7 linked regions of the Macaca fascicularis genome follow. The protein of the gene in region 4 interacts with the protein of the main gene of each other region in a biochemical or structural test. Links are inferred from orthologs where the notes say so. Each region holds a gene or a part of one and is shown on either strand. Other genes may lie near its edges. The genes, in order: ERBB4, XPO1, ATR, ABL1, ERBB2, MAPT and DOK1.

The links.
Region 1: the proteins of ABL1 (region 4) and ERBB4 form a complex in vitro, tested with the Homo sapiens proteins (2 studies listed by BioGRID and IntAct, with this or other methods). The link is inferred for Macaca fascicularis from reciprocal best matches to the Homo sapiens genes ABL1 and ERBB4.
Region 2: the proteins of ABL1 (region 4) and XPO1 interact in a test that uses a peptide from one of them, tested with the Homo sapiens proteins (2 studies listed by BioGRID). The link is inferred for Macaca fascicularis from reciprocal best matches to the Homo sapiens genes ABL1 and XPO1.
Region 3: of the proteins of ABL1 (region 4) and ATR, one has a biochemical effect on the other in vitro, tested with the Homo sapiens proteins (2 studies listed by BioGRID, with this or other methods). The link is inferred for Macaca fascicularis from reciprocal best matches to the Homo sapiens genes ABL1 and ATR.
Region 5: the proteins of ABL1 (region 4) and ERBB2 form a complex in vitro, tested with the Homo sapiens proteins (3 studies listed by BioGRID and IntAct, with this or other methods). The link is inferred for Macaca fascicularis from reciprocal best matches to the Homo sapiens genes ABL1 and ERBB2.
Region 6: of the proteins of ABL1 (region 4) and MAPT, one has a biochemical effect on the other in vitro, tested with the Homo sapiens proteins (2 studies listed by BioGRID). The link is inferred for Macaca fascicularis from reciprocal best matches to the Homo sapiens genes ABL1 and MAPT.
Region 7: the proteins of ABL1 (region 4) and DOK1 form a complex in vitro, tested with the Homo sapiens proteins (5 studies listed by BioGRID, with this or other methods). The link is inferred for Macaca fascicularis from reciprocal best matches to the Homo sapiens genes ABL1 and DOK1.

Annotation. Positions count from the first base shown.
Region 1 is NC_088386.1:108,380,047-108,384,252, forward strand, and holds the start of ERBB4 (receptor tyrosine-protein kinase erbB-4), read right to left. Parts: upstream 2,821-4,206; 5' UTR 2,201-2,820; coding exon 2,119-2,200; intron 1-2,118. UniProt on the Homo sapiens protein: Tyrosine-protein kinase that plays an essential role as cell surface receptor for neuregulins and EGF family members and regulates development of the heart, the central nervous system and the mammary gland, gene transcription, cell proliferation, differentiation, migration and apoptosis.
Region 2 is NC_088387.1:60,431,904-60,435,441, forward strand, and holds part of XPO1 (exportin-1), read left to right. Parts: intron 1-69; coding exon 70-208; intron 209-371; coding exon 372-553; intron 554-638; coding exon 639-795; intron 796-869; coding exon 870-1,033; intron 1,034-2,217; coding exon 2,218-2,352; intron 2,353-3,538. UniProt on the Homo sapiens protein: Mediates the nuclear export of cellular proteins (cargos) bearing a leucine-rich nuclear export signal (NES) and of RNAs.
Region 3 is NC_088376.1:45,385,467-45,389,711, reverse strand, and holds the start of ATR (serine/threonine-protein kinase ATR), read left to right. Parts: upstream 1-1,441; 5' UTR 1,442-1,530; coding exon 1,531-1,589; intron 1,590-2,779; exon of another isoform or gene 2,780-2,983; intron 2,984-4,245. UniProt on the Homo sapiens protein: Serine/threonine protein kinase which activates checkpoint signaling upon genotoxic stresses such as ionizing radiation (IR), ultraviolet light (UV), or DNA replication stalling, thereby acting as a DNA damage sensor.
Region 4 is NC_088389.1:13,167,373-13,171,529, forward strand, and holds the start of ABL1 (tyrosine-protein kinase ABL1), read right to left. Parts: upstream 2,823-4,157; 5' UTR 2,244-2,822; coding exon of another isoform or gene 2,145-2,243; 5' UTR 1,537-2,144; coding exon 1,401-1,536; intron 1-1,400. Other genes in the region: uncharacterized protein, read right to left, coding at 2,145-2,243. UniProt on the Homo sapiens protein: Non-receptor tyrosine-protein kinase that plays a role in many key processes linked to cell growth and survival such as cytoskeleton remodeling in response to extracellular stimuli, cell motility and adhesion, receptor endocytosis, autophagy, DNA damage response and apoptosis.
Region 5 is NC_088390.1:60,768,454-60,771,991, forward strand, and holds part of ERBB2 (receptor tyrosine-protein kinase erbB-2), read left to right. Parts: intron 1-405; coding exon 406-557; exon of another isoform or gene 558-620; intron 621-1,735; coding exon 1,736-1,949; intron 1,950-2,706; coding exon 2,707-2,841; intron 2,842-3,198; coding exon 3,199-3,267; intron 3,268-3,477; coding exon 3,478-3,538. UniProt on the Homo sapiens protein: Protein tyrosine kinase that is part of several cell surface receptor complexes, but that apparently needs a coreceptor for ligand binding. Essential component of a neuregulin-receptor complex, although neuregulins do not interact with it alone.
Region 6 is NC_088390.1:67,473,563-67,477,826, reverse strand, and holds the start of MAPT (microtubule-associated protein tau), read right to left. Parts: upstream 2,820-4,264; 5' UTR 2,687-2,819; exon of another isoform or gene 2,246-2,686; intron 2,000-2,245; exon of another isoform or gene 1,744-1,999; intron 1,234-1,743; exon of another isoform or gene 1,109-1,233; intron 1-1,108. UniProt on the Homo sapiens protein: Promotes microtubule assembly and stability, and might be involved in the establishment and maintenance of neuronal polarity.
Region 7 is NC_088387.1:47,388,230-47,392,382, reverse strand, and holds DOK1 (docking protein 1), read left to right. Parts: upstream 1-1,333; 5' UTR 1,334-1,368; coding exon 1,369-1,428; intron 1,429-1,763; coding exon 1,764-2,063; intron 2,064-2,188; coding exon 2,189-2,282; intron 2,283-2,491; coding exon 2,492-2,676; intron 2,677-2,893; coding exon 2,894-3,619; 3' UTR 3,620-4,117; downstream 4,118-4,153. UniProt on the Homo sapiens protein: DOK proteins are enzymatically inert adaptor or scaffolding proteins. They provide a docking platform for the assembly of multimolecular signaling complexes. DOK1 appears to be a negative regulator of the insulin signaling pathway.

The sequences.
Region 1 (4,206 bases), on a different chromosome or scaffold from region 4:
AAGAAGTCCCCGGGGCATTTACAGTTTCCATTGGATCACCTTAGTATGCGTGTTGCAATTATACCAGGGATGCACCCGAGAGTTTTTCTTTGTACGGCCCTTTCATCTGGATCACTTTGTGTTTTGAACAAGTGAGACTCGCCTTTGTGCCCCCAGAATTTCAAGTACAGAGTCACACACGGAACAATGGCACGCTAATCCTCGCGCTCTAAATGGGCTCACTTGTGGGTCTGACAATTCGCCCAACGAAACGAGAAGAGATGAGCGAGGGCGCGAGCTGGTGTCGCCTGAGACGAGGAAGAGGACAGCTGCAGAACTAATTTGGATTACATTCCTTGCAGAAATTCTGAAAAGGGCTTTTCGGCATAGCTCAACCCGGAGCCGCACAGTTAATACCAAATTGCTGCGGACTCGGAGCGGGGTCCCTCAGCGGCAGAGGCTGAACCAGCCAGCCCCCAGTAGGTCGCCTCGTAGAAATTCCTCTCGGCTAAGCCTGCATGTCGGTCGCCACTGCCTTTGAATGGGTCAATGTGTATAATCAACCCATTGAGGGAAAATATGAAGGGACTCGAAGTGGGGAGGGAGATAAAAAGAGATGTATCTAAGAGGCCGCTTGGAATGTCAAGTCCGTGTTGGTGTGATTCCGGGGGTGGCTGGAGCGCGGGACCTGGTATGCGTGAAGAATTTCGGAGTAATTGGGAGGGTGCAAACAGCCAGCACAAAACGCCGCACATGTGCCATTCGAAGGTCATTTTGAAAGCCTCGATGATTGTAACTTGTTGTTTACTAGGCAAAGGAGGCGGCGGCGGCGGGGGCGGAGCGGGAAAACTACAGCTTGCTGTTTCCTTGGTGAGGTCAGAAGGACACCCTCCGGGGGCCTAAAGCGCTCCCTATCGCCACTCCCGGGGGCTTTATCACCTCAAGCTACTTCCCACGCTCCAGTCACCATCCCCGAATGGTTTCAGAAATCTCCCTGGCTCTCCAAAAGGCACCCCTTGGCCGCATCAGACACCGGTCCTCCTCAGACCTCTCCCGTCCCACTTTCATCCCCAGGAAACTCAAGTGTCAGAAACTTTGAGCTTCCTTGCACTGCAGGTGCTGTCATTAGTCCTGCAAGCCTTGGCGCTCCAACCCCGCCGCGCTGCCTCTCGGGGTCAGTTAGCCCTTTGCCTGCCCAGGTACCTGGGGCTCGAGCTCTCCAGCAAGCAGTGGCCGCGCACCCGCCGCCGCCGCTTGCGCCTCGGGTGGATCCAGTGACCCGCAGGCTCGGCAGCCCGGCCAGGCAGTAAACAGACAAGTTTGAAGGACTCCGGCCAATAGCAAGTTGAACTACAGGAAGAACTCTTCCAGGAGCCAAACACGGCAACCGACGGGAAGGCCCGGCTTCTGGCTCGAGTGTGCCAAGCCATTTTTTTTTTTTTTTAAGAGGTCATGCAGGCGAGCAAGCGCCCCTCAAGTCAATGGGGCGAGGGCTCCGGGAAGCCGGCCGAAGAGGCCCAGAGCTCCAGACCCCGGACCGAGGCGCGCCCGCCCGCTGCACTCTTGCTGCCCGGGCTGGGTACGAGTCGCGTCTGACCCCACAAGGCTTGGGCGACTGGGGGCGCAGCGGCCGCCGGCAGCACACACAGGTGCAAAGCCCGGGTCTCTGAGCGCCACTCTCCACCGCCCTTCAGGCTTGGCGCGGGAGAGGCCCAGCCAGCACCTCCCCAGGACCCCGGCCCTCCGCGGCCCCGGCGGTGCGGGTTCCTCCCTCGAGGGACCAGACAGGGACAGGAGAGTCTCCTCTGACTGGGGATTTGGGTCTCCCATGTCCCGAACAACAGGCGCCACCAGAAGGGATCCCGCTTAGGCTCCCACACAAAACGCTCGGGAAAGAAAAACAGGGGGTTAAGGAGAGAAAAAAGAGGGGCTCAGAGTGATTTCTTCACGATAAAGCACAGGCACACATACAGGGTAAGTTTCAAATGGAAAGAGGGGCGACCGAGAGCCCAGGGAAGAAGTCCCGGTCGAGCGGTCCCTCCACGCCTCCCGGGATGGGTGAAGAGGGCGGGGGAGCCACTCAAGGCAGCCCCGCCGGCGGCGGCAGGTTCGGCGACCGGAGCGCCAGAAGGAACCCACCTGACTGAGAATCGCTGGGCTGGACGGTCCCCGCCGCCACGAGAAGGCTCACCCAGACCCAAAGTCCTGTCGCCGGCTTCATTTTTTGGAAGTCTCAGATCCCGTGCTGACAATTACATGTCCAAATGGCATATCCCCCTTTCGGGCACGCGGAGGAGATCCCCCAGCCGGGCGCGCGTGGGGGCGCGAGGGGGGCGGGCGCGGCGCGCGCGGTGTAGCGACTCCCAGGGCGGGCGGCCGAGTCCGCGCCCGCGGGTCCAGGGCCGGGGCCCGAAGAGGGGGCGAGTGTGCGTGTGTTGGAGTGTGCTCGGTGTGTGCGCGTGGCGGTCCGGGCCGAACTGTGCAGTTATTTCCCCGCGTGAGCCTTCGCTTGCTCGCTGCCTCCTCACTTTCTCTCTCTCTCACTGGTTGGTCAACAATAAAAAAGGAAGGGGGGCGAAAGGTTTCCAAAAAAAGTTGATTGCAAAGAGGCGGTAGGTTTCCGGCCTCTCCCCGCAGCCGGGCTGTGTTCTGCTCCTTCTTCAGTTTCCTTGCACCTCCAGTCCAAATGGGGAGGGGAGCGGGGCGGGGGGAGCTTCTCGCTTCTCCCCGGATCCCGTCCTTCTTTTTCCTGTCAGCTTTCCTCACACTTGTCCGGCGGCTGCGGTAATTAAAGCTCCGAGCGTCATTTCCAACGCTCCGCGGTCTCCAGCTGCAGCCCACAGAGAAATTAATAAGACTCCAGAAAAAAAAAAAAAAAAGAAAAAAAAAAAAAGGTGGGGGGGGCGGTGGGAATAAAACAACCCTCCACGCAACCAGGCAGGCTCTGCTCAGCCGCGCAAACCCCGCCCATGCTCTGACCCAACTAGCCACGCCCTTCTCCCCCGCCCCCCGCCCCAAAGGGAAATCTCATTGGCTCAGCCACTCCCCAAAATCCTAGGCCTCCGGAGTTGGGAAAACACCTGTCAGGGAGAGGGAGCCGCTTGGTGGGGGCAGGGGAAGCTGGATTTAAAGGGCTCACCGAAGCCATGCACTGAAGCACTCCTCTTCCCTCCCTGGCAGAGGCCTGGGACAGCTGGCCCGCAGAGTGGACAGACCATCGGAGGGGCGCTTACAGAAAAGATTTTTTTAAAAAACAAGTCAGCATTTTCTCCATTGTCCCACGGTGCTTATCTACAGACAGGACTTTCCCTAGAAATAAAAGAAAAGTCAATGTTGCTTTCAGCAAAAAGCCTCCGCCCGCAGCACTCTGCCACTCATGGTCCACAATTAGAAAGTACTTTAAAAGTGTGCACAGTAAGTAACTAGTAGCCCCTGAGGATTAGGTGGTGGTAGGGATATAATCACCGCCCCGCCTCCCGCCCCCAGTTATGCCATCTCTCCGGTTATTCCCACATTTCCAAACTGACCGACATTGAGCCAAACTAAAATTTCACATTTATAAAGCCATACCCTTTGATTTTTAGATTTTATGTTTTTTTCACCTTTGGAGTTCATTCTTATTAAGCAGATTCTAGTCCAAAGCCACTGATTTAATCTTAAAGGGCTAGAAATTGTCTCAACCTGAAAGTATTTAAGGAGGCCACATCAGAACATAATTAACCTTAAATGATTCTGCTTCTTCTACAGTAGACCCAGCTTTAGGCCCTTTCCTTGTCCTCACTCTGCACATTCATGGTCCCTAATCCGGAGGTCATTGCTAGTTATGAAAATCTCTGACCTTTTCTGAATCTAAAATATTCTGGGACTGGGTCATATCAATGTTCATATCCCTTGCCTTTTACAGCTCTGAAACCGCACCCTGGCAAGGACCAGAATCTCCTGGGGGTAGTAAGTTATTAGTTACTATTTGTACAGGCATTCTATGTATGAATCACTTTCCTTTTTTGGTTTTTCTAGAAGCAGCAAATATATAAATAAAAAGTATCAGGGGAGCTTAAAAATCAAACCACCCTGCCTTTCATTTGAGACCTGGATCTCCATTTCCCACTCTCTTATCTATAGCTCCATCCCTTAAGAATTTCCATGGAGCTGAGAACAGATAGGAAATACAGATGCCTGAAGCCTGAAGCTTTCCCTTTCTTAGACCCACAGCAAATAACAGGCTCC
Region 2 (3,538 bases), on a different chromosome or scaffold from region 4:
CTAAGCTTCTACACTAATGATTTCAGTGATCTAATGATTTTTTCTTGATTGATTTATTGCTGAATATAGGTCCGTTTATTAATGGTTAGTCGAATGGCTAAACCAGAGGAAGTATTGGTTGTAGAGAATGATCAAGGAGAAGTTGTGAGAGAATTCATGAAGGATACAGATTCCATAAATTTGTATAAGAATATGAGGGAAACATTAGGTAAGTTAATAAATACTGTTAATCTTTACCTTTATAAATTTATTCTGGGGTAGAAATATATTTTAGAAAATGTACTGTAGTTTCTAAATATTTTCTAAACATGGTATTCATTGGTAAAACTCTTTGCTCATTATTTGCATTTGAAACAATTTTTTTTTCGTAGTTTATCTTACTCATCTGGATTATGTAGATACAGAAAGAATAATGACAGAGAAGCTTCACAATCAAGTGAATGGTACAGAGTGGTCGTGGAAAAATTTGAATACATTGTGTTGGGCAATAGGCTCCATTAGTGGAGCAATGCATGAAGAGGATGAAAAACGATTTCTTGTTACTGTTATAAAGGTATGCAAGGGATAGGTATGAATTAGAATTGCTAAATAAGTATTATGTTGTTACAATAAATGATATAAATCTGTCTTATTTACAGGATCTATTAGGATTATGTGAACAGAAAAGAGGCAAAGATAATAAAGCTATTATTGCATCAAATATCATGTACATAGTAGGTCAATATCCACGATTTTTGAGAGCTCACTGGAAATTTTTGAAGACTGTAGTTAACAAGCTGTTCGAATTCATGCATGGTAAATCTCTTTCTTTACTATATTTTGTTTTTATTTTTATTGAACAAAATAAATGAATGTTTTTGTCTTGTTAGAGACCCATGATGGAGTCCAGGACATGGCTTGTGATACTTTCATTAAAATAGCCCAAAAATGCCGTAGGCATTTCGTTCAGGTTCAGGTTGGAGAAGTGATGCCATTTATTGATGAAATTTTGAACAACATTAACACTATTATTTGTGATCTTCAGCCTCAACAGGTATGTTAAGCACTGAGCATATGTTATTTTTAGAAAGTAACACCTGTATCAATCTGTATGTATCAGTGGAAATAGGAAGGCAACTGTTGGATCCAATAGAAGTGTTTCTGATTAAACTTTCTTTTTTCCTTGAGAACAGGGTATTACTCTGTTGCCCAGGCTCAAGTGCAATGGCACGATTACGACTCACTGCAGCCTTGAACTCCCAGGCTCAGGTGATCTTCCCACCTCAGCCTCGTGGGTAGCTGGGACTACAGGCGTGCACCGCCTTCACACCCAGCTAGCCTTTTTCTCCCCCCTTGGTAGAGATGGGGTTTTGCCAAGGCTTGTCTTGAACTCCTAGCTTCAAGCGATACGCTAGCCTCAGCCTCCCAAAATTATTTTATATGTGTGAGCCACGATGCCCGGCCTGATTAAATTTTCATAGTGAGACAGATTCTTGTTTTTGTTTTTGGGGGGGTGTGTGTGTGTGTGTGTGTGTGTGTGACGGAGTCTCCCTCTATCATAGAGTCCAGGCTGGAGTGCAGTGGCACAATCTCTGCTCACTGCAGCCTCCTGGGGTTAAGTGATTCTCTTCCTCAGTGGCTGAGATTAACAGGTGCGTGCCACCACGCCCAGTTGACTTTTGCCTTTTTAGTAGAGACGGGGTTTCTCCATGTTGGTCAGGCTGGTCTCAAACTCCTGACCTTGTGATCCGCCCGCCTCGGCCTCCCAAAGTATTGGGATTACAGGCATGAGCCACCACCATGCCTGGTTTGGGTTTTGTTTGTTTGTTTGTTTGTTTGTTTTGTTTTGAGATGGAGTCTACCTCTGTCACCCAGGTTGGAGTGCTGTGGTATAATCTCGGCTCACTGCAACCTCTGCCTCCCAGGTTCAAGCAATTCAAGCCTCCCAAGTAACTGGAATTATAGGCACTTGCCACCATGCCTGGCTAATTTCTTTGTATTTGTAGAAGAGATGGTGTTTCACCACGTTGGTCAGGCTGGTCTGCAACTCCTGAACTCAAGTGATTGGCCTGCCTCAGCTTCTCAAAGTACTGGCATTACAGGAGTGATCCCCACCGCACCTGGGCCAAAATCAGTTTCAAGATATTTGAGTTGCTTGTGTGTGAATTGCTTGTGTGTGGTTTTCCTTATTAGGGTGTATAAGAACATAAAAGTTAAAATGTCTGCTTTTTAAAATAGGTTCATACGTTTTATGAAGCTGTGGGGTACATGATTGGTGCACAAACAGATCAAACAGTACAAGAACACTTGATAGAAAAGTACATGTTACTCCCTAATCAAGTGTGGGATAGTATAATCCAGCAGGCAACCAAAGTAAGTATTCTACTTTTTCTTAAAGTTTTCATGGGATTTAAGAAGACTGTGTTCCTTACAAATATATTGAATTCAAGCCTTTAAACATGTATGTGTGATCCGTAAGTGCTTTTATGTGTGGCTTTGTACATTTTATTATCTGGGCCAGGCGTGGTGGCTCACGCCTGTAATCCTAGCACTTTGGGAGGCTGAGGCGGGCGGATCACCTGAGGCCAGAAGTTCGAGATCAGCCTAGCCAGCATGGCGAAACCCCATCTCTACTAAAAATACAGAAATTAGCTGGGCTTGGTGGCACATGCCTGTAACCCCAGCTACTCAGGAGGCTGAGGCAGGAGAATCACTTGAACCCAAGAGGCAGAGGTTGCAGTGAGCCGAGATCGAGCCTCTGTACTCTAGCCTAGTCGACAGAGCAAGACTCCATCTCAAAAAAAAACCTGAAAATCTGGGCCGGGCGCGGTGGCTCACGCCTGTAATCCCAGCACTTTGGGAGGCCAAGTCAGGCAGATCACAAGGTCAGGAGCTCCAGACCATCCTGGCTAACACAGTGAAACTCCGTCTCTACTAAAAGTACAAAAATTAGCTGGGCGTGGCACCGGGCACCTGTAAGTCCCAGCTGTGCTCAGGAGGCTGAGACAGAATGGCGTGAACCCAGGAGGCAGAGCTTGCAGTGAGCCAAGATCACGCCACTGCACTCCAGCCTGGGCGAATAAACGAGACTCCGTCTCAAAAAATATTTTACTTCATTCTTAGGTAGATATGGACAAAAAGGCTTTTGTGTTCGTTTTTACCATTTGGGATTATAAATATGATTTAGGGTAAGGGAAGTGTAATGGCTTTTGTTTCAGTAATTATGTGGATAATTTTTTTTTTTTTTTTTGAGACGGAGTTTCACTCTTGGTGCCCAGGCTGTAGTGCAATGGCATGATCTCAGCTCGCTGCAGCCTCTGCCTCCCAGGCTCAAGCAATTCTCCTGCCTCAGCCTTCCAAGTAGCTGGGATTACAAACAAGCGCCACCATGCCTGGCTGATTTTGTATTTTTAGTAGAGAGAGGGTTTCTACATGTTGGTCAGGCTGGTCTTGAACTCCCGACCTCAGGGTGATGTGCCTGACTCAGCCTCCCAAAGTGCTGGGATTATAGGTGTGAGCCACCTCACCTGGCCATTATGTGGATAATTCTTACATGATA
Region 3 (4,245 bases), on a different chromosome or scaffold from region 4:
ACCACCTATGTGCCAGGCACTGTTTTAGGTCCTGGGTATCTGATAGTTAACGAAATAGACAAGACCTTGCTCTCCAGGAGCTTACATTGTAACTGAAGAGAAACAATAACATAGTATGTCCGGGTGTGGTGGTTCTCACCTCTAATCCTAGTACTTTGGGAGGCCGAGGCCGAGGTGGGAGGATCGCATGAGGCCAAGAGTTTGAGACCAGCCTGGGCAACATAGCAAGACCTTGTCTCTACAAAAAATAATTAGCCAGGCGTTGTGGCATGTTTGTAGTCCCAGCTACTCAGGAAGCTGAGGCAGGAGGATCAATTGAGCCCAGGCTGAAGTGAGAGAATCGCTTGAGCCTGGGAGGTTTAGGCTGCAGTAAGCTATGATTGCAACATTCATTGCATTAGAACCTGGACAACAGAGTAAGACAATGTTTCTAACAAAAAAAAAAGAGAGCGAGAGAGAGTGTGTATATATGTTAGTCTATATGAAGCTCTTTGGTGTTATTTTGGCAAACACATGAAGGAAAAGGGGCAATGACAGAATGGCGTTCAAGGCAGAGTACAGCAAATGGAAAGTTCTTGAGGCAAGAGCATATTTGGCTGTCATTACATCACTTTTTTAAAAGATCCTGTATCAGTTAACTATCCTCATGTACCAAAGAACAAATGTAAACATACTGCATGACTTTGAGTGATTAACTACCTAACTTCGACATGTCAACAATCTCTTATAGTGATCATCTTTCCAATAAATTGAGCTAGAAAATGTGTATTGCCAAAACCCATTGCTTTACTTTAAAAATTAAATCACAGGTTGTGGATGCCCGTAATGGTGGCATTTCCACACATAGTACTGCTGCTGATTTGATGAGACAAAAATATAAACCAACCCCATTTTTAAATATTAAAGGTTGGTAGGGTCCTCAAGGAAACCTAAGAGTGACTTCAAGTTGAAAAAGAATGCTTAGAAGGAAAAAAACAGGGAGAGCCCACCTTTTGGCCTGTATCTCTCAGAAAGAGGGACAAGAGCGGTGGGAAACTGAGGAACTTTTAAAATGTGAGAGCGTTACTCTGGGGAAACCTGGAGTCTACTCTTGGCCTTTACTCGCTGTCATCGTTCTCACATTTGTGAAGCGAGAGTCTGGGCTGGCGGCCCTCAAGCCCTATTCTCCCCCGATCCGGGGATGTTGCTTCGCTGTGCCTCCCAGGCTTGAGAACAGTAGAGTCTGGCCGCTCAAAACGAAAGCTTCACGAACATTGCTCGCTGGGTGCTGAGAACGAAGGCTGACGCTACCCGGGAAATTCGACCGACGCGCGCCAGCCCGCTTGCCCCGCCCGCTAACGGCTTCCCGGCTTCCCCCGGGTCCTAAGCAGAAAATACGCAGGGCCTGGCAAACGGGGCCAGTAGCGGCTTCCGGGAGGAGTTTTGGCTTCCGCAAGGCTCCGTCGGGCGCCGCGCTCTTCCGGCAGCGGTAGCTTTGGAGACACCGGGAACCCGAGTCGGCGTGGTTGAAGAGTGCCGCGCAGCCCCAGCATGGGGGAACATGGTGTGGAGCTGGCTTCCATGATCCCCGCCTTGCGGGAGCTCGGCAGGTAGGGGTAGGCCCAGCCTGGGTCCTGCATCCTCCTCCTCCTCCGGTCCCGGCTGGGGTTTCACATGCTTTCCCCTCCCCTGCCGCGCCATGGCTGGCATCCCCTAAGTCCGCGCTGCGGCCCTTGTGGAGATGCTCCGTGGCTGATTTGGGCGCTTCTCCCTCAGAGTGCCAGTTGATAGGACATGGGGCGGTCGCCACAAACCTGCGGGAAGCCGGTCCGTAGGGGAGAGAGGCGTCTGCTGGCCCTGGTTTACCGCAGCAGCCCGTGGGTGTTAGCCCCGACCCGAGAATTAGCCCCGACCCGAGAGTTTGCTTCCTGCAGCTGGAGGGAAGAGTGCCTGATAATCGCTTTCTGGTCACTTTTCTACACTCATTTCCTTCTCGAAAATCTTTTTCCTTAGACGAGGGACTTGACCCATCAGGTTCTGTTCTTCGTGATCACTCGTGGAGGAATTGGTTTTTAGCCTTACATTTTGTCCCCAAATTGTCCTTGGAAGAAAATCACCGCTTCTTATTTTCTGCAAGTGACATCACTTGCTGGAACAGGCAATTTTTTTCTTTGAATTGAAGTCACAGTACGTACTGAAGATGTGACCTCCTTCGTATTGATCGTCCAGTTCCCGATCCGTTGTTTTAGTCAGAAATTGGAGAGATAGACCTCAGGGTCCACAAAATCTCAGCGTGCACAGAGTGTTGCCAAAATTTGGAGACGATTTAATATTTGGTTTGCAAATGCTTGTTGTCTGTAAACCTCGTGAAAACCAGTATCTTACCAAAAGAAGGAGGGAGAGGGGTTGATGGCTGCCACACCCCATCAATACACAGGCAGGCTTCCCTGAACCAGGCCTAAAGACTCGGTAGGGCTTGTTTTGTTTTGTTTAATTCTAACCTGTGAACAAGAAATAAATGAGCTCGTGGTGCTACTGCAGTTAAATTATCAGTTGGAACAACTGCTTCCCAGTTTCTTAAACTGTTTGAAAACTTCCCACACAAAGTCAAAGCTGACATTAAGCCAATGGGATAGCTACTTCTCTTTCTTTTTGCAGCGCAGTTGTGTTCATTTCCACTGGTTGGCCATCCAAATAATCTAGTTTCAATATATGAATAAGAGGATAAATGAAGGGATCATTCTTGTCCTAACTGCGTCACTATTTTTGAGTGTATGAATTTTTTCCACTTTTTATCTGCGGCAAATATACTTCGTGTCTAGTTTACAAATTAACTTCTACATCTCTAAAAGAAGATGAAGAAAAGTGATCATTGTAGGAAGGTGGTTTACAAATTTCATCTTTCAGGCTCACTGTGAAGCTCAGTATGTTTTTCCCACTTTGCTTTAAAGTAGAATTAGCTGGTTAATACTTCTCTTCCCTCTTGCGTCTTCCTCCGTGGGTCCTGTTAATAAAAATAATTGGTTCTTGGATTATATATAGTCTGTTCATCAGTAGAGCTTATGTTACCTTTCATTTATTTGTAGCTATGCCAAGAGAAAGAATAGAAAAACTGACCCATAGAGAGTTGTCTAATAGTTTTTAATTGTCATGGCTTTTTCATTAAAACTACTTGAATCAAAAAAGCTGATCCATTTTCATAGTATGTCCATGACATAGAATGGAATAAGTGTTACCACTGTTTAAGAAAAAGGGTCAGAGAAGTTGAAGAACCAAAGGCACAGCTAGCAGATACCAGAGCTAGGTTTCAGATTCAAGCTCTCAAGGCCTTTTCTTCCAAAACGTTTTCCTTTAATTGACTGTGGCAATTAGACTACTGAAAAAAAATGAGATACTAGTGTTCTAATTTATGGACTGCTCTTCCTCAGTCCCTCAGATAAATTTTGTCCTATTGTTTTTTTGCTGTTAGCACTCTGCTCTGCATAGTCTTGCCAAATGACCTTTCCACTTTCCTGCCTTCAACCATAATCTGCTATTTGATGACTCCTAATATGTTTTTCCAAATCATGTCTCCTATAGAATTGTATATTTACTGTATACTGGCAGTTTCACTGAGTGTCCTATGTGTAGTTAAGTCAGCATATCCAATACAAATTCTCCACATGTCCTAACCTTCATAAGCTTTCTTTTTTTAAATTAAAAAAAAATTTTTTTTCTCTTATTCATTGAAGTAGAGCTATCTCAGTAAATGGCACCATATTCACTTATTTCTCCAAAACAGAAATCTAGAAGTCATTCTTGACTGTTCTCCCATGTGCTTTTAGACTATGTCCTTGGCCCTCTTTTAATCTGTGCTCTCTTCCCAAGTAATCTTACCTAATCTCATTACTTTAAATGTCATCCATATGCTGATAACTCACAAATTTATATTTCTAGATCAGAGATATATATTAGGTTGCTTACTCAACATCCACACTGGGAAGTGAAAATTAACATATGCAAAGCAGAACGCCTGATTTACTGCCCTTGAATTTGTTCCTTCTCCCATGTTACTGTAAATATACCAACCAAAAGCCTAGGAGTCATCCTTGGTTTTTTCCCCTTGTCCCTTAATAATCCTTAAGTTAGTTCTGACAACTATATGTTTAAGATACATCTAGAATCTAACACTTTTCACTGTCTCCACTGCTACCACCAGAATTTTTTACCTAAAGTATTACAGTAAACTTAGTTGATCTCTCCATTTCTACTTTTACCTACTTAAAA
Region 4 (4,157 bases):
AAACAGTTTCAGCCTCTCAACCCCTGAAGGGATATCAGGGACACGTAGGGAACTACACTGCTTTCTACACCAGCTTCCCGGAATGAGATTACTGGGTCACTGGCACATACATTTCAAATTCTGATAAGTTCCGCCAAAGCTCTCCAAAAAGTCTGTACCAATTTTCACTATGTAAGGTGCATGATCATCACAAGTTAAAATGTAAATAATTCACTTTTTAAATCCTGAATTTGGGAGCCATCATAACACATGACCATATTGGCTTGCCTAAAAACAAAGCTAAAATAGAATTAATGTTTCAAGGCAAAGTAAAATCCAAGCACCCGGATTTATTTAGATGAAGTGAGTATTTTCTTGTAAGAAAGTAAAACTTCAACCGTCAAATGCAAGTTCATCCAACAGAAGCCTTTGTTGATTGCAGTCACCCAATGTTAAGAAGTATTTCTGAATGAATTTCAAACTATAAGCCACTGGCACACTTGATACGTTTGCTTATAGGATAGGTGGGCTCAATTGATTTTTTAATATAAAGGACACAATCTGAAAAATGGCAGGCTGCAACAGTACAAACAGTAACCCTAATTAATTGGTTATAGACATTAGTGTAAGCCGACCCTTAGCTTTAACTTCACACAGAATTACTGGACATGAACAACATAAAATGTGCTGTCAGCACTCAAATGCCAAATATGTTCATAAAAATGTCAAAGACAACTTTTATTGGCCCAAATGTCACTCTAAACAGGGAGAAGAGAGGATGAAAGCTTCATCAACGAGGAAGGGATTACTCCTATGGAAGGTAAGACAGAAGCTGTGTATCTAAAATTAATAAGGAATGCTGCCTCCCCACTTGATTTTTCCCACATGGCTCCAAAGTGAGTATTTTCAAGTCCCACTTATGATGGAAAAGGTCAAGGATATTAGCATCAACCAGTATCTATGATTCTTAACTTTACCAGAAAAACAAACCACTTTGAGAATATGATAAAAGCTCTCTGTAGACAAAGCAGTAAAGAATCCATGCATGTCAGAAGAGCCCTTGACTTCGGTGAGAGCAGAATCATAGAACCATGCATCCTAAGAAACAACTGAAGTCCAGCCCCTCAGGAAACTGAAGCCCTGGAACAGTAAAATGGCTTGTCCAAGGTCAACAGTGAATTCGCAGAGGAAGCAGGCAAGAAATAAGCAACTCAAATAGATTCTGAATAAAGCCGAACTCACGAAGTAACTTTTTCTTATACAAAGTAAGTTTCACCAGAAACTTGAGAGATAACTAAAGTAACAAATGTATTAAGTGGAATTGGAAGGAACTGTCGCAAGTACTATTATTCAAAGTTCCTTGAAGGCCTAAGATGAACGCATGAGGAAAATAATGAGCAGAAATTTTGAAAAGCACTCACCATGTTCCACAAAAACATTGCAGTGTGGACCCCCATGCCTCGATGATTCCTTCTTCCCTGCTCCTTTGATAAAATGCAGGGCAGGCAAGCTTGGCCTTCTTTGGTCCCCAAGAACTTTTCCAGGCTGCTGCCCCATAAAGTAATAATGGGTACCCCTTTCCAGAAGAGGGTTCACGATCTTCCAGAACGGTCAGAGAGCGTAGAGGCAAATGGCATATACGCAGGATTTCACATTCGCTGCATCTCCACAAGTCAGCAATTGAAGTCAATCAGAGAAAGACCTCTTCCATAACAAAAGGAAGCACTTTTTTTAGGTTGACACTTGCAAGCAGGAGTTCCAATTATTTTCGCAGTTTATCAATTTTAAGTAATGTAATTGCAGTGTTACCCAAAAGTTTCTTGACTTTTTTTTTTTTTTTAACGGGCTGAATAACAATTTCTTTTCAAGAAGAAAAACCTAAGCAGAAATATTCACAGGGGATGCTGAAAAGGGTCAATAATGCTAGTCATTTCAATTCCCACATATAAAGGAAACGCTGATCGTCTTTGGCTACTCCTCCAGAACTTTTCCTGTGGAAGTCACCAACCTCCTATCTTAGCTTCTTCATCTTCCAACAAATTTCCTGCCGAACTAGTGGCCGCTCTCGCTTCTCTGCTCTGCTCTCCGGAAAAGGACACGGGTCACCCAGATTTCAGCGAGTTTGCCCTCGACTCTGACGAAAAGGAATGCATTGCCAGCAACTTTTAAGTCCGCTTTTTAAAAGGCCTGTGGAACCAATCCAGACTTTTCCTTTGCATTAAAGTTTTTGGCTGACCTGAGACTAAGGGGGCCGTAGGTGACATTGGAAGAAGTCAGGGCATTAGAGGCTCGCGGGAGCCACCTTGGGGGAAGGGGAGACCCCTTGACAGCAGGGAGGGATTTGAATGAGAGGCTCTGTGGCCAAAGTTGGGGCCGGGATCCGGAACAAGGGGCGGCTCGGGGCTGAGGGAGGCTGCCGGGGCGCGGCACGGGCGGCTTACTCCAGGGCGACGCTCTTCCACGCCTCGGAAAACGGGGTGTCCCAAGCTGAGGGTAACAGACCCCCAGTGTCCCAAAGCCGGGGTGGAGCTGTAAGGGACGAAGGACTCTCGCGGCCCAGACAGCGGAAGGCGGACGCCGTGTAGAGGAGGCCCGGCCGCCTCAGCTGCCCCAAGCCCGGGGGTCTCTGCCTGAGACACCCTCTCCCCCGGCCCCGGACGCTGACACCACCACCGCCCTCAGGCAGTCACATCCCCAGAGCTCCGCCGAGGAACCCAGCCGCCCCCCGCCGGTAGGGGCCGTGGACAGCGGAGGGGCTCCTCAGTCGCAGCACCCGGGAACCGGCTCCGGCTCCAGCGCTGCTCAGGCACAGACACCGACCCCCGCGGCCGCCATGATGGATTACGAGCCGCTCCACAACGAGGCCAGGCCCCGCCCTCCGCCCCGCCCACGACGACGTCCGGAGCCCGCCTCAAGGGGACCCGGATGCCCTCAGGGCCGCTTTCCCGGGACACCGCCGCGCGTCCCGGCTCTGGTCCCACTGCCTGCGAAAGCCGGGCCCGGCACGACCTTTTAAATGTGGCTTCTTTGAGCGCTAGGTGAGTGATAAGGAAGCACCCGCCTCCTCTGTATTGTCATTGGCCTCCGAGAATCCGGGTCGGGCCTCTCTCCCCCGTCCCATTGGCCAATGGGGGCAGTAGGGCTGGATCTCCCAGCCAACCGTGTTCGGCGCAGTCCGCGGTGCGTCCCGGGAGTTGTGGTCCCACGGCACCCGCGCGAGTCCTCCCGCACCGAGACTCCTGGCCCGGACCCCGACCGCTGGGCCTCGCCCCGCCCTCCTGGGACCTGGTGGACTCTCGCCGGCCGAGCGTCGGCTGGACCGCGTCTCCCCGGCGCGAGTAGTAAGACCGGGACAAAGCGAGGGAAAAACTGCGGATTGGATTTTCCTGGAACCGGAATCGGATGATTTCCTTCAGTCTCTAAGGGAGAAAATGTGGCTTGCTCCTAGAAGCCAAGGTTTTTGGTGCCTCTCAACCCCTTCACCCTCCAAAAAGCATAAATATTAGAACTAGCGGACGGGGCGCGGTGGCCCACGCCTGTAATCCCAGCACTTTGGGAGGTCGAGGCGAGCGGATCACCTGAGGTCGGGAGTTCGAGACCAGCCTGACCAACATGGAGAAACCCCTTCTCTACTGAAAATACAAAATGAGCCGGGCGTGGTGGTGCATGCCTGTAATACCAGCGTCAGGACGTTGAGGCAGGAGAATCGCTTGAACCCAGGAGGCAGAGGTTGCGGTGAGCTGAGATCACACCATTGCACTCTAGCCTGGGCAACAAGAGCAAAACTCCGTCTCAAAAAACAACAACAACAACAACAACAACAAAAAACAACTAGCGAAGAAACATACAGAAATAGGGAAAACATCCGACATGTTGCTAACGAATTCAACTATTTATTTGGGCATTAGGAGGCTTACTCATTACAGAAAAGCCATTTGTTGGGTTTGCCAGGCGCTATCAGATGTTTGCCCTGGAACGAATCTTTAAGACTATAAACATTTCACAGGTGAACACGTATTCACATGAAAACATCCTCTATATTAGCCGAGAAAATGCCCAGATGGTTGGGTTTAGCAAGTCTACAGAACCAATGACCTAGATGTGCCAAACCCACACCTGATAGAATCCATGTTCTGCGACTAAAAAGCACCTTGGTTCCTATTGGCTCTCCATGTCTC
Region 5 (3,538 bases), on a different chromosome or scaffold from region 4:
GGGGGCATCCAGAAGATTCAGGATTCGTCATCGCCTCTCTTGGGGGATTTTTACCCCTTGGCCCTGAGTTGTGCCTTTGGGACAAAGGAAGCCTTTCTTTGCCAGCCAACACCCTGTACTGGCGGGTGAGCTCCACAGGGCTGGCACGCTGGGGCAGCCTCTGGATGCACAGGGTGGGCCTAGTCAGAAGGCGCCTTTCCCCTGAAATCCCTCTACTTCCCAAGCACACAAGCTTTCTCCTGCTGTTAAACCTGCAGTGTGCAAGGGATGTCGGCGGAGGGGTCCTTCAGTCAGCCTTCTCCCTGTCTGAGATGAAATGACTCTGGGAGTGAGTTTGGGTGGGGAGGCCAGGTCCAAGAAGGTCCCCCGCCCGTGTCCTCTGACCCATCTGCTCCCTCCTGCCAGTGTGCACCGGCACAGACATGAAGCTGCGGCTCCCTGCCAGTCCCGAGACCCACCTGGACATGCTCCGCCACCTCTACCAGGGCTGCCAGGTGGTGCAGGGTAACCTGGAACTCACCTACCTGCCCACCAATGCCAGCCTCTCCTTCCTGCAGGTGAGGCCCGTGGGCAACCCAGCCAGGCCCTGCCTCCAGCTGGGCTGAGCCCTCTGTTTACAGGTGGGTGGCAGAAGAAGGTGCCCTGCCCTTTGTTTCCTCTTTTGTTGTGGTTTCTCAACCAGGAAGTCCTTTCTAACGTCTAACCCCCATTCATTTTACTGCAGAATCAGTTGACTCTCTCTCTAATGTGGCTGGCCGAGGTCATCTCTGGATGGGATGCGTCTGTGTTTCCGCTAAATCTTGTGCTCTCTTGCCAGCATGATCATGTCCCCCGTCCACCTGCCCCAGCCACTATCCTTCTCCCATCTACAGCAGCAGAAAGGGCTGGTGAGAAAGGTGGATTACAGGCCCAGTTCTGCCACTGATGAGCCCTATGAATGTGGCCTACACCCCCTTAGCTTCACGGGGTCTCAGTTTCCCTATCTGTATATTGGGAGCAATTGTGAAGCTCAAAAGAGAAATGTCTATGAAAAGATTATGAGCAGGAGAGAGTGGAAACCAACCTGCTGGGTTGTGTCCATGGACCCTGGAGTGGGGCCATGTGCTTGGTTTGTCAAATTGCAGACGCCGGCTGAGCATGGTGGCTCACGCCTGTAATCCCAGCACTTTGGGAGGCTGAGGTGGACAGATCACCTGAGGTCGGGAGTTCGAGACCAGCCTGACCAACATGGAGCAACCCCGTCTCTAATAAAAATATAAAATTAGCTGGGAGTGGTAGCACATGCCTATAATTCCAGCTACTTGGGAAGGCTGAGGCAGGAGAATCGCTTGAACCTGGGAGGCGGAGGTTGCAGTGAGCCGAGATCATGCCATTGTACTCCAGCCTGGGCAACAAGAGCGAAACTCCGTCTCAAAAAAAAAAAAAAAATTGCAGACGCCATCCCATCCAGGCCTTTGCTTTCACTGATGAAGAAACTGAGATGCAGAGAGGGCGGGGTACCTGTTCAGAGTTTACGAAGTGCCCCCCCACCATTATCTTTCTTGATCGTGTAAGAATCTGGTGAGGCAAGGTGGGGCGTGATCTTTATCTCCATTTTATCGTTTTATATAAGAGGGAACAGGACTGCTCAGTGGCTGGGGGCCTTGCCCAAGATCTCCAAGTACTGGGGAACCTCAGGGAGGCCCTGGGGGTGGCAGTGTCCCTGTTTCAGCCCCACCCTGCTTCCCCCTTCCAGGATATCCAGGAGGTGCAGGGCTACGTGCTCATCGCTCACAACCAAGTGAGGCAGGTCCCACTGCAGAGGCTGCGGATTGTGCGAGGCACCCAGCTCTTTGAGGACAACTATGCCCTGGCCGTGCTAGACAATGGAGACCCGCTGAACAATACCACCCCTGTCACAGGGGCCTCCCCAGGAGGCCTGCGGGAGCTGCAGCTTCGAAGCCTCACAGGTGGCCTTCGCCGTCATTGAAACCTTCTCTTGGTTATTCAGAGCTGACCAGGGCCACTGCTAACCATGGGGAGGCTTTGTGTGCATTAGAAATGGTGTCCCTTCTGGGCAGACGCAGGCAGAGCCTGGGAAGACACCCTGAGAAGACTGGAAAAAATTCCCCTTCTTCCTAGGAAGCTGCAGCTTACGTCAGCGCACAGAATTCAATCATGAGAATGCAGGCTGGGTTTTTGCCCCCACTTGGCTGAGTGAAGTGTACAGTGAACAGCCTATGTAACTGTTTGCTGGCCCTGGAGCTGACTCTGCCCCAGAGTCTGGGTGCCAGGTGCTTTGCCCGCATGGCCCATTTCAGTCACACTGCAGTCCTGTCAGGAAAGAATCAGTGTTATTCTCATTTTACGTATGAGAAAACTGAGGCTTGCAGAGATGTGAGTGATGGGGCTGGGTTTCAGACTCCACGGTCTCTTAACCACCAAGCAACATGTCCGGAGTAGAGGTGAGAGGGAAGGAGAAAGCTGCGGTCCACGTGAGCATCTGGACGTAGCATGGACAACTCACTCCTCCCTGGCTCTCGCTTTGTTCATGTTGCGGGGGTGGTGGTGGTGGGCTCAAAGACGGTGACGATATCTTTCTCTCCTCCCTGGGGAATCTGGGGTTGTATAAAAGGCCTGCTCCTCTTTTAGAAGGCAGGAGGGCCCCAAGGGAAGCAGAAGGTGACAGAAGGGGAAAGGGTCCCCTGATCATTGCTCACCCCACAGAGATCTTGAAAGGAGGGGTCTTGATCCAGCGGAACCCCCAGCTCTGCTACCAGGACACGATTTTGTGGAAGGACATCTTCCATAAGAACAACCAGCTGGCTCTCACACTGATCGACACCAACCGCTCTCGGGCCTGTAAGCCATGCCCCTCCCTGCTGCCTCTTCTCTCAGACAGCCTGACCCCAGCCCCAGACTCCCGACTTACAACCCAGTGCCTGCCCGCCACTGCCCCAGCCGCCTACACCCATTTCCTCCCTCTCTGTCCCTCCTGCCATCTCTCTGGGCCTCTTCATCTCTGGGGTTCTCTGTCCTGTCTTCCTCTGCTTCTAGGCTGTGCCTGTGGTTTGGGGGCCTCTCAGCCTGTCTGGGTCCCTCCTTCACTGTGCAGTTGGCCTCGTGGCCTCTGCTGCTGTTTGTGTCTCTCTCCGTTATTAACCCGTCCTCTCACTGTTAGACATCTCTCTCACTGCCTCTCCCTGGTTCTGTCCTCAGGCCACCCCTGTTCTCCAGTGTGTAAGGGCTCCCGCTGCTGGGGAGAGAGTTCTGAGGATTGTCAGAGCCGTGAGTCTCAGGGAGGCCTGGAGTCAGGGAAGGGGAGGGCCAGGACCGGGGCTGGGTGGAATGCAGGTGTCATACGGGTGACATGGGAGGGGTGGGATAACAGGCTTGGGATGTCTTCCCTGGGGCAGGTAGTCTCCCTAGAAGGTGATGCTGATGAGGGTCTGGTGCTCAGGGTGCCACTCAGCCTTCATCCTGCCCTTTGCCCAACAGTGACGCGCACTGTCTGTGCCGGTGGCTGTGCCCGCTGCAAGGGGCCACTGCCCACTGACTG
Region 6 (4,264 bases), on a different chromosome or scaffold from region 4:
TTCCCCGGCCTTGCCCACCGCAGTGGCCCAACCAAAGCGCCAACACATTTCAAAATGGAGCGAAATCGCAGAAGCGCGGATTGTGCTTTGTTCCCAGCATTGGGCTAAATGCGCTCATCCCCACCGGGCTCCCTTTCCTCCAACGGCAGCAGGTGACATCTCTGCTCGAGATGGCAATAGGCAGCCTTGACCGTGGGCTCCCCTTTTCCAGGGCCGTCCCGAGACCCTCACTCCATCTGGAACCGGAATCCCGCGCCCAGCTCTGTCTGGGGGCGAGGGAGGAGAGAAGATGCTTGAACTGACCCCTGAGCCGCTCTGCAACCCCTCGCGGTGGCTCAGCCATGCGGGAAGCCTCGCAGCACTCAGGCTCCAGCCCTCGACGCCACCGTCGAGGAAGGTCAGCCTGGTCCCGGGCGGGCTCTAGTTCCCCAGTCAAGCCATTCCCCGGAAATTCAGATCAACCTGGGCAGCCCGCGTGGAGGATTCAGCTCCTAGATGCTCGTTCGTCTCAGAAGTGCGCCCCCCCGCACCAGTTTTCAGCGATAGAATTAACCAGAAAACGGCGCGTACCAGGTTCATCACAGGAGGGCGAGGCTCGGATGCCTTGGCCAGGAGTTCTCCTTGCAGCCCCAGACTCGGTTTTGGGGGTACGGTGAACTTGGATACGGGTGAAATCCCGCATTTACGATAAATAATATTAATCAGTACAGACATAATATTAATAAAAATACACCCAAGGGCTGCCTATCTGCGGCCGCCAGAGGCCAATTAGAGTCTCAGGTGCAGGGGTTGGGGGCTTCCTCCCGTGTCCTCCAGGAGGCCAACTGGGCGCGGCCCCGCCTACCCCAGGGTCCCCAATCTCCCCAGGGAAGGGGTGGGGCCAGCCCCAAGGTCCCCTCTCCGGACGCCTGTGGTTCCCATGGCAATTCCCCCTCTGTGCCCCCTCCAGTGGGCTCAGAAAAATGGGTGTGGCCGCAGCACCAGTAACCTTATGCCCCCTCCTCACATTCTCCCGCCAGGCGAAGCAACAGGGCGTAAAGCTGGAGAGGCCCCACCGGGGCTCCCCACCCATCCCCGAATGGGTAGCCAGCGTCCCTCGTTGGGCAACCTGGTGTGGCTTGGCCCTCAGGACACTCGGGGTGTTGGGAGGGGCGTGATCCCTCTGCCGCCGCCCGCAGCGCAGCACGGAGACTCGAATCCCATCCCTTCAGAAGCTTCCTGGCGCCCGCAGACTCCGAGACGAGGCTGCGCGCGGTCACGCCCGTTCCATGCGTGCCGGGGGTCGGGGGGTTGACTCGGGTTCGTCGACCCCAGCAAGCCTCGAGATCCAACAATGGGCTCGGAAATGAGGAACGAAAAAGGAAAGAGGTGCTTGGGGGTGGGGGGAGGTTGGCTAAACACCCTCAGAATAAAAGCCAGAAACCAGGGCTGGGAGCGCAGATCACGTAACCTCTACAGACAAAGCAAAGAGCCCCCGAAGAAGGTGCTGGGTGAACGCCCCCAGCGCTCACGCCCGCAGCAGCAAAACGCCAAGATTTCAGCGCTGATTGTCCCCCTCCCTTTAATGCCAGGCCCCGCCCTGTCCTACGAAGCCCGGCCACCCGGTTTGGCATGGCACCGTAAAGACGTGACACGCCGAAAAAAGATGGCACCTCGGGAGTGGGAGGAGGCACAGCCTATCCTCCCCCCTCCTCGCCCACCAGGATCCACACCCACTGCCGCAGTGAGGGGCGAGCCCTGCGCGCCAGCCCCGCGCCTCCGGCAGGGAGCGCACACGCCGGGCACCCTGCGCGCGGAGCGCTGAGAAAGAAACCCGCCCCGAGATGCACCTGCAGCCCCGCGCCCGTCAGTGCATGGCTGCTGCTGTGCCTGCCCGCGAGCGGGGACCGGCGGCCGCCGACTCCGTCCACATCGCCAGGCCAGGTGACCCCTGCCTTTGCGAGCGTGCACACTGGGATCCTCGCACTGTTCTCAGGCACGGCGCTGCTCGCGTCTCTGTGCCAGGCGTGCGCAGGGGGAAGGGCAACTAAAGTGACAGCGCCTGGACCCCTCCCCATCTCCTCGATTCCTCCCAGCCCCCAAATGTCCCCTACGGGTTTCTGAAGGAGGAAAAGGGGAGGGGGCCGGCCCCCGCCTAAAATCAGGGGCAGTGAAGGCCCTGTCGGAATCACTGCTCGGGAGGTAAAGGGAGGGGCGTGCAGGGAGTCAGTCATCTTTTCTAGAACCCGATCCACATCTTCCTTAGGGCTGATGGCGAACAGCGGCAGGGACAGCGGATTTCAGGTTCGGTTTCGGGGGTCGTTATCGGACCCCTCCCCCCCACGCACGCCCATTGCGGCAAAAGACTGCGGTCGAGAGTGAAGGGCAGCCCCCTCCCCCAAGTCACCGCCGCCGCGCCCCACCCTGCCGGCACGGCCTCCACCTGGGGTCGGCGCGAAGCGGGTGAAGACCCTCCAGCACACACACACGCGCGCACTCAGGCGTGCGTGCATCCCTTGCTCACGTCCCTTTCCAGGCCGCCCTGGCCCCAGCCCCCGAGCAGGGGAGGCAAGGAGGGGCCCTGCGGTCGCCCCGACCGATGCCCGGCGCACGAAGCCCCAGTCTGTGGAGGCTGAGGGCGAGGGGCGGCGGCGCAGGGGTGCACAGGGGCGGACGGCGAGGCAGATTTCGGAGCCGCGGCGCTTACCTGATAGTCGACAGAGGCGAGGACGGGAGAGGACAGCGGAGGAGGAGAAGGTGGCTGTGGTGGCGGCGGCAGAAGGTGGGCGGTGGCAGCGGCGCTGCTGTTGGTGCCGGAGCTGGTGGGTGGCGGTGACTGCGAGGGCGCGCGCCGGCGAAGAGGGCGCGTTCCCGAGGCCGGCAGGCGGCGCAGGCGCGAGCAGCGGGAGCGCGAGCCTCCCCAGGGGAGGGGGCGGGCAGCCCGGCCTCCGCGGGAGCCTTCTCCTCCGGCCACCAGTGGGCGCGCGCGAGCGCCCTGCCGCTCGGCTGTCCGGCGCCTCCCGGCTGGTTCCTCTCGGCGCTGCCCTTTCCCGGTGCCCCTCCCCCTACGCCTCAGGCCGCGGCGCTGACCGCAGCGCGCACGCGCGTTCCATGGCGCACGCGCACTCTCCGCCTCCCATAGCTGGAGCCTTTGTCTCGTTGGAGGGGTGGGTGTCTTCCTTCGGGCCCTGCGGGGTCGGGGCAAGGCCAGTGACTCCGCCAGTGGGTCCCCTGCCCCTTTCCTTTCAGTCAGCCTGAGGCGGTGTCCTCTCCTGGAGAGGTCCTGAGCGACCTTCCACGTGGCCAGCTCCCCAGTCCGCCCACCCCGACCCTCCGAGTCCCGAAATCGCCCCCCTGGCTAAGGTCGCTTTTCCCCAGGCTGCTTCCTTTCTCCTTGCTTTTTTCCCATCTTTTTTGTTACTGACCAAGGTGAATCCTTTCCTTAACAAATTCACTTAAAGCAAGCTAACTCAGTTACAATACAGTAGAACTGTACTTTAAAAAAAAGTATTTGGATCTATGATGTATGTAACCGTGACGCTAGAAAAGAAATCTTAAATTAGACCAAATTGAAATAGTGCTTAACACATCGCAGAACATTTGCACACACAGTTATTTGTATCACGTCTTTTGAAACATCTTTATGCTGTAAGTAGAGTTTGAAGTCTGAATGTTTAAGGGCCAGCTGGAGATTGTCCCCTGGAAGAGGCATCTCAGCCTGAAACTGACCAGTGGTCCTCATTCTACTGGTCACCCAGGCCCCAAGCTTCGGCCTTAGCTTGGATTTTTCATTTCCCCAACGTCAAATTTAAGCCCTGGCAGTGGGCGGATTTCTATGTATGGGGGTTTAGGGCAGCCGTCTCCTCCTAGGGAGATGGGAAGTTGTCTTGAAGCTCCAATTTGCATGGTTCTTACATTATTTTTTAAAAACCAACATATGTTATAGATTAATAGAAAAAGCAAGTAAAATGCTTTATTCACACTGAGTTTCTGGAACTGACCTTTTTCTTTCTTTCTTTTTTTTTTTATCCATATTAACTTTATTTTTAAACAGAGGGGCATATATCCAAAGAAGTAGGAGTGAGAACCACCGTGGGGGCTTGCTGAAAGCGATCTGCCCTAGCCTTCTGACTTCAGAATGTCTCATGAGCCAATGGCCTGGGGATGGAACTGCCCCTTGATGGTGTACACCTTAGAAAAGTCAATGGAATTGACCTTTTTTTGGAGACAAGGTCTTGCTCAGGCTGGAGTGCAGTGGCACAGTCATAGCTCATGGCAACCTTGA
Region 7 (4,153 bases), on a different chromosome or scaffold from region 4:
CCAGGCCTTAAGGCTGGGTGGGGGATGGGGTAGGGTTGTCCCAGCCTCCTGCCAACACCACCATCGCTGTCACCTGGCAACCGGAGGCCAGGCGCTATGGCTCCTCAGCCAAGGCCTTCTCTGCCTAGGGCTGAGAACAGCCCCTCTACAGCAAGCCCCCGTCAACATGCTTCCCCCAACCCAAACAATCAATCCAACAAGGCAGCTTTGTTCTGGGGACATTTTGGCTTGGGGACCCAGGGGTAGGGCCTCCCGGAGGAGCCCCCTCCCTTAGGGCGCGCCTGGTGGCCCTGTTCAGAACACCCGGAGCCCCCGCCTCCGGTATGTGCCTCCTCTCTGTACTCTGTCTCACATGCCCTTAGACAAGAATCAAACTCTCAGTTGGGTGGCTTCCCCTCGACTCCATCCCACACCACCGTTTTCTCTGGTCCCTCCACATCCTCTCCATCCCCTACTCTCTCCCTCTGCGGTTAACGTGACTCCCCCTACCTTGACCGAGCAGGACCCTAATGGCTGGGAGAAGAGTGCTGGTCCTGGAGATCAGTCCTAGGACTTCCAAAAAAAAAAAAAAAAAAAAAAGATCGGCCAGGGGAGACTAGACCCCCCTCTCTCCCCCTTCTCCGTTCTTCCCTCCCACATCCCCCTGAGCCCTCCCACATTCCGCCTTCTCGCTCCATTCCTCCCGGCCAGTTCCCTCCTCTCCTCCTCTGGGTCCTCCCTCCCTGTGGAGCGGGCCACTGCTGCGCCCCCTCCCCCTCCCCGGCCCTCCCGGCCGGCTCAAAGAAGCTTTCTCTTCCCGCGGCATGGAGGCCAGGCCTCTGCGGTCAGGGAGCTGACATGCAAGCGGCCGCCGGGCGGCGGGGCGTCCCCGGTGGTGGCGGGAAGCGGTTCAGTCCCAGCCCTCCCTCCGAGTCCCGGGTCAGCGGAGTGTAAACAGCCCGGCTCGGGCGGGGCTGGGGGCGGGCCCGCCCAGGGGAACTGAAGCTCTGGAGGCCCGTGTGGGTCTCTCCGGTGCCTCCGGGGGCTTTCGGGGTGAGGTCATGGCTTTCACTCTGATGTCACGTTGGACATATGACGTCACGCGCAGCCACCACGTCCAGAGGCCAGGGTCCTCGCGCCAAAACCGAGTACTTTCGGTGGAGCTACCGGCGCGCCCCTACGACGGCGGGTAGGGGCCTGGGTAGCGCCAGGCTAATCCGGGGGCCTCCACCCTTCCTTCTCGCTCTTCTCCCTCACCCCACCGCGACCCCCCAGCGGCCGCCGGTGGGGGCCGGGGAGGGGCGGAAACGCCTCCAGGGAACCCGGCCCCGCCTCCCGCCCCGCCTCCCGCCCCAGGGCCAGGAAGCGCGGAAGGAACCGCCGGGGGCCATGGACGGAGCCGTGATGGAAGGGCCGCTGTTTTTGCAGAGTCAGCGCTTTGGGACCAAGGTAGTCTGGGGCACGGATGCCTAACCTTATCCGGGCTAGTAGTGGGTGAGAGAGCCCAGAAACAGGGAGAGGTGGGCAGCAGGCTGGAGCGCGGCGCGGGCAGTTGGAGAGCCTGTGACTGTCCTGCGAAGTTGCTTTGTACGCTCCCAGGAAGCGTCTCTAGTCTCGGGGTTCTGGTCTTGGGGAGACGGAGTGGCATCCTCCTTGGGAAACTTCGCCCCCCCGTTTGGAAGCCCCAGACCCCAAATCGACCTGCGCCGCTCCCTCCTTCCCCGTCGGGACCCGGGCCGCCCGCGCACGCCACTCACTCTCCAGCCCTCTCACTCTCTCCCTAGAGGTGGAGGAAGACATGGGCCGTGCTCTACCCGGCCAGTCCTCACGGCGTAGCGCGGCTCGAGTTCTTTGACCATAAGGGGTCGAGCTCTGGGGGTGGCCGAGGGAGCTCGCGCCGCCTGGACTGCAAGGTGATCCGTCTGGCTGAGTGTGTGAGTGTGGCCCCTGTTACCGTGGATACCCCGCCTGAGCCCGGCGCCACTGCCTTCCGCCTGGACACTGCTCAGCGCTCGCACTTGCTGGCGGCCGACGCGCCGTCCAGTGCAGCCTGGGTGCAGACGCTGTGCCGAAACGCCTTTCCGGTGAGGAGCTGCGGCGATGTGGGGTGGGGGCAGTTACAGAGGCAGAGAAATGGGGCTGGCTCAGACCGACACCCACTCCCCGTTGAGAAAATTACAGGTTTCTCGATGCTCTCTCTCTACTACAGAAAGGCAGCTGGACTCTGGCGCCTTCAGATAACCCACCTAAGCTTTCTGCCCTGGAGATGCTGGAGAACTCCTTGTACAGCCCCACCTGGGAAGGTAGACGCCTAAGAAGCCGGGGCAGGGATGGAGTGAGGAGGAGGGCCTTTGGAAAGTGGGTGGATACCCAGGGGCCCATGGGGAAGTAGGAAGGCCCTGAGATCTGGCTTCCAAGTGAGTGCTTGGACATTACGCTCATGAGTCCTCTGGGTCCCCACTGCTGCCCCCGCCCCTCCCCCAGCAGCTGTCTAATCGTATATGCCTTCCAGGATCCCAATTCTGGGTAACGGTGCAGAGGACTGAGGCCGCCGAGCGCTGTGGCCTGCATGGCTCCTACGTGCTGAGGGTGGAGACTGAGAGGCTGACTCTCCTGACCATGGGGGCCCAGAGTCAGATACTGGAGCCACTTCTGTCCTGGCCCTACACTCTGTTGCGTCGCTATGGCCGGGACAAGGTGCAGGGGCTGTCCGGGAGGGCTTCCTGGGTTGGGCAGCTGTGGGAGGGGTGGGGCAGGACAGAAGGTGGGAAGCGCTGACCTTTGGATCCCCCTTTCTTGCCTACCCGGTGACCCCAGGTGGTCTCTTCTTTGTAGATACCCTAACTAGTGCAGGCCTGTGACTCACTTCCTCTGATGGCTCCTGGTAATGTGTTTCCCTCTCTACCCTCCTCAGGTCATGTTCTCTTTCGAGGCCGGCCGCCGCTGCCCCTCCGGCCCTGGAACCTTCACCTTCCAGACAGCACAGGGAAATGACATCTTCCAGGCAGTTGAGACTGCCATCCACCGGCAGAAGGCCCAGGGAAAGGCCGGACAGGGGCACGATGTTCTCAGAGCTGATTCCCATGAAGGGGAGGTGGCAGAGGGGAAGTTGCCTTCCCCACCTGGCCCCCAAGAGCTCCTTGACAGCCCCCCAGCCCTGTACGCTGAGCCCTTAGACTCCTTGCGAATTGCTCCATGCCCTTCCCAGGACTCCCTATACTCAGACCCCTTGGACAGCACCCCTGCCCGGGCAGGAGAGGGAGTGCAACGGAAGAAACCTCTCTATTGGGACTTGTTTGAGCATGCACAGCAGCAGTTGCTGAAGGCCAAGCTGACGGACCCCAAAGAGGACCCCATCTATGATGAACCTGAAGGCTTGGCCCCAGTCCCTCCCCAGGGCCTTTATGATCTGCCTCGGGAGCCCAAGGATGCATGGTGGTGCCAAGCCCGGGTGAAGGAGGAGGGCTATGAGCTCCCCTACAACCCTGCCACTGATGACTATGCTGTGCCACCCCCTCGGAGCACAAAGCCCCTCCCTGCTCCCAAGCCTGAACCTGGTACTGCAACTGGCAGTGGCAGCAAAAGCTACAACTCAGCCCTATACAGCCAGGTCCATAAAAGCGGGGCCTCAGGGAGCTGAGACTGTGAGCTGTCTAGAGTAGGGACTGACAAGACTGGGGTCAAGTCAGAGGCCTCTACCTGAGAAGGAGGGCAAGGCTGAGGTGGCTAAGGAGGACCATGGGGAGGTGGCACTAGGGATCTAAGAAAATGGTTAGAACCAGCAGAAGCCAGAAGGTGGGAGGGGCCGTGCTGTATGAGACCAGGGGACCAGAGGGTAGGGGAGTCAAAGGAAGGACAATCCCAGGAAGTCCTAAGAAGTGGGGCAGATGGCAAGGCTGAGGGATGGGCTCTGTATCCTCCTAAAGCTGTCCCTTCTCCACTTCCCCAAAGGAAGGGACAGCTGCGGGACCAGGTCTGTGGAAAGTGGTGCATGGTCAGAGTGGGTGCAGTTTGAGGGGCCCATGTGGAGGCCTCAGGGAGATGTTGGACTGTGCCTGGATTCTTACTCCTGCATTGTTCTTTGCCAGAGACCTATTTAAAAATTTTAAAATTCTCATTAAAGTCAGCTTGGGTTTAAGAAGTTTATGTGTGTGAACAGAAAAAGAGGGGACAC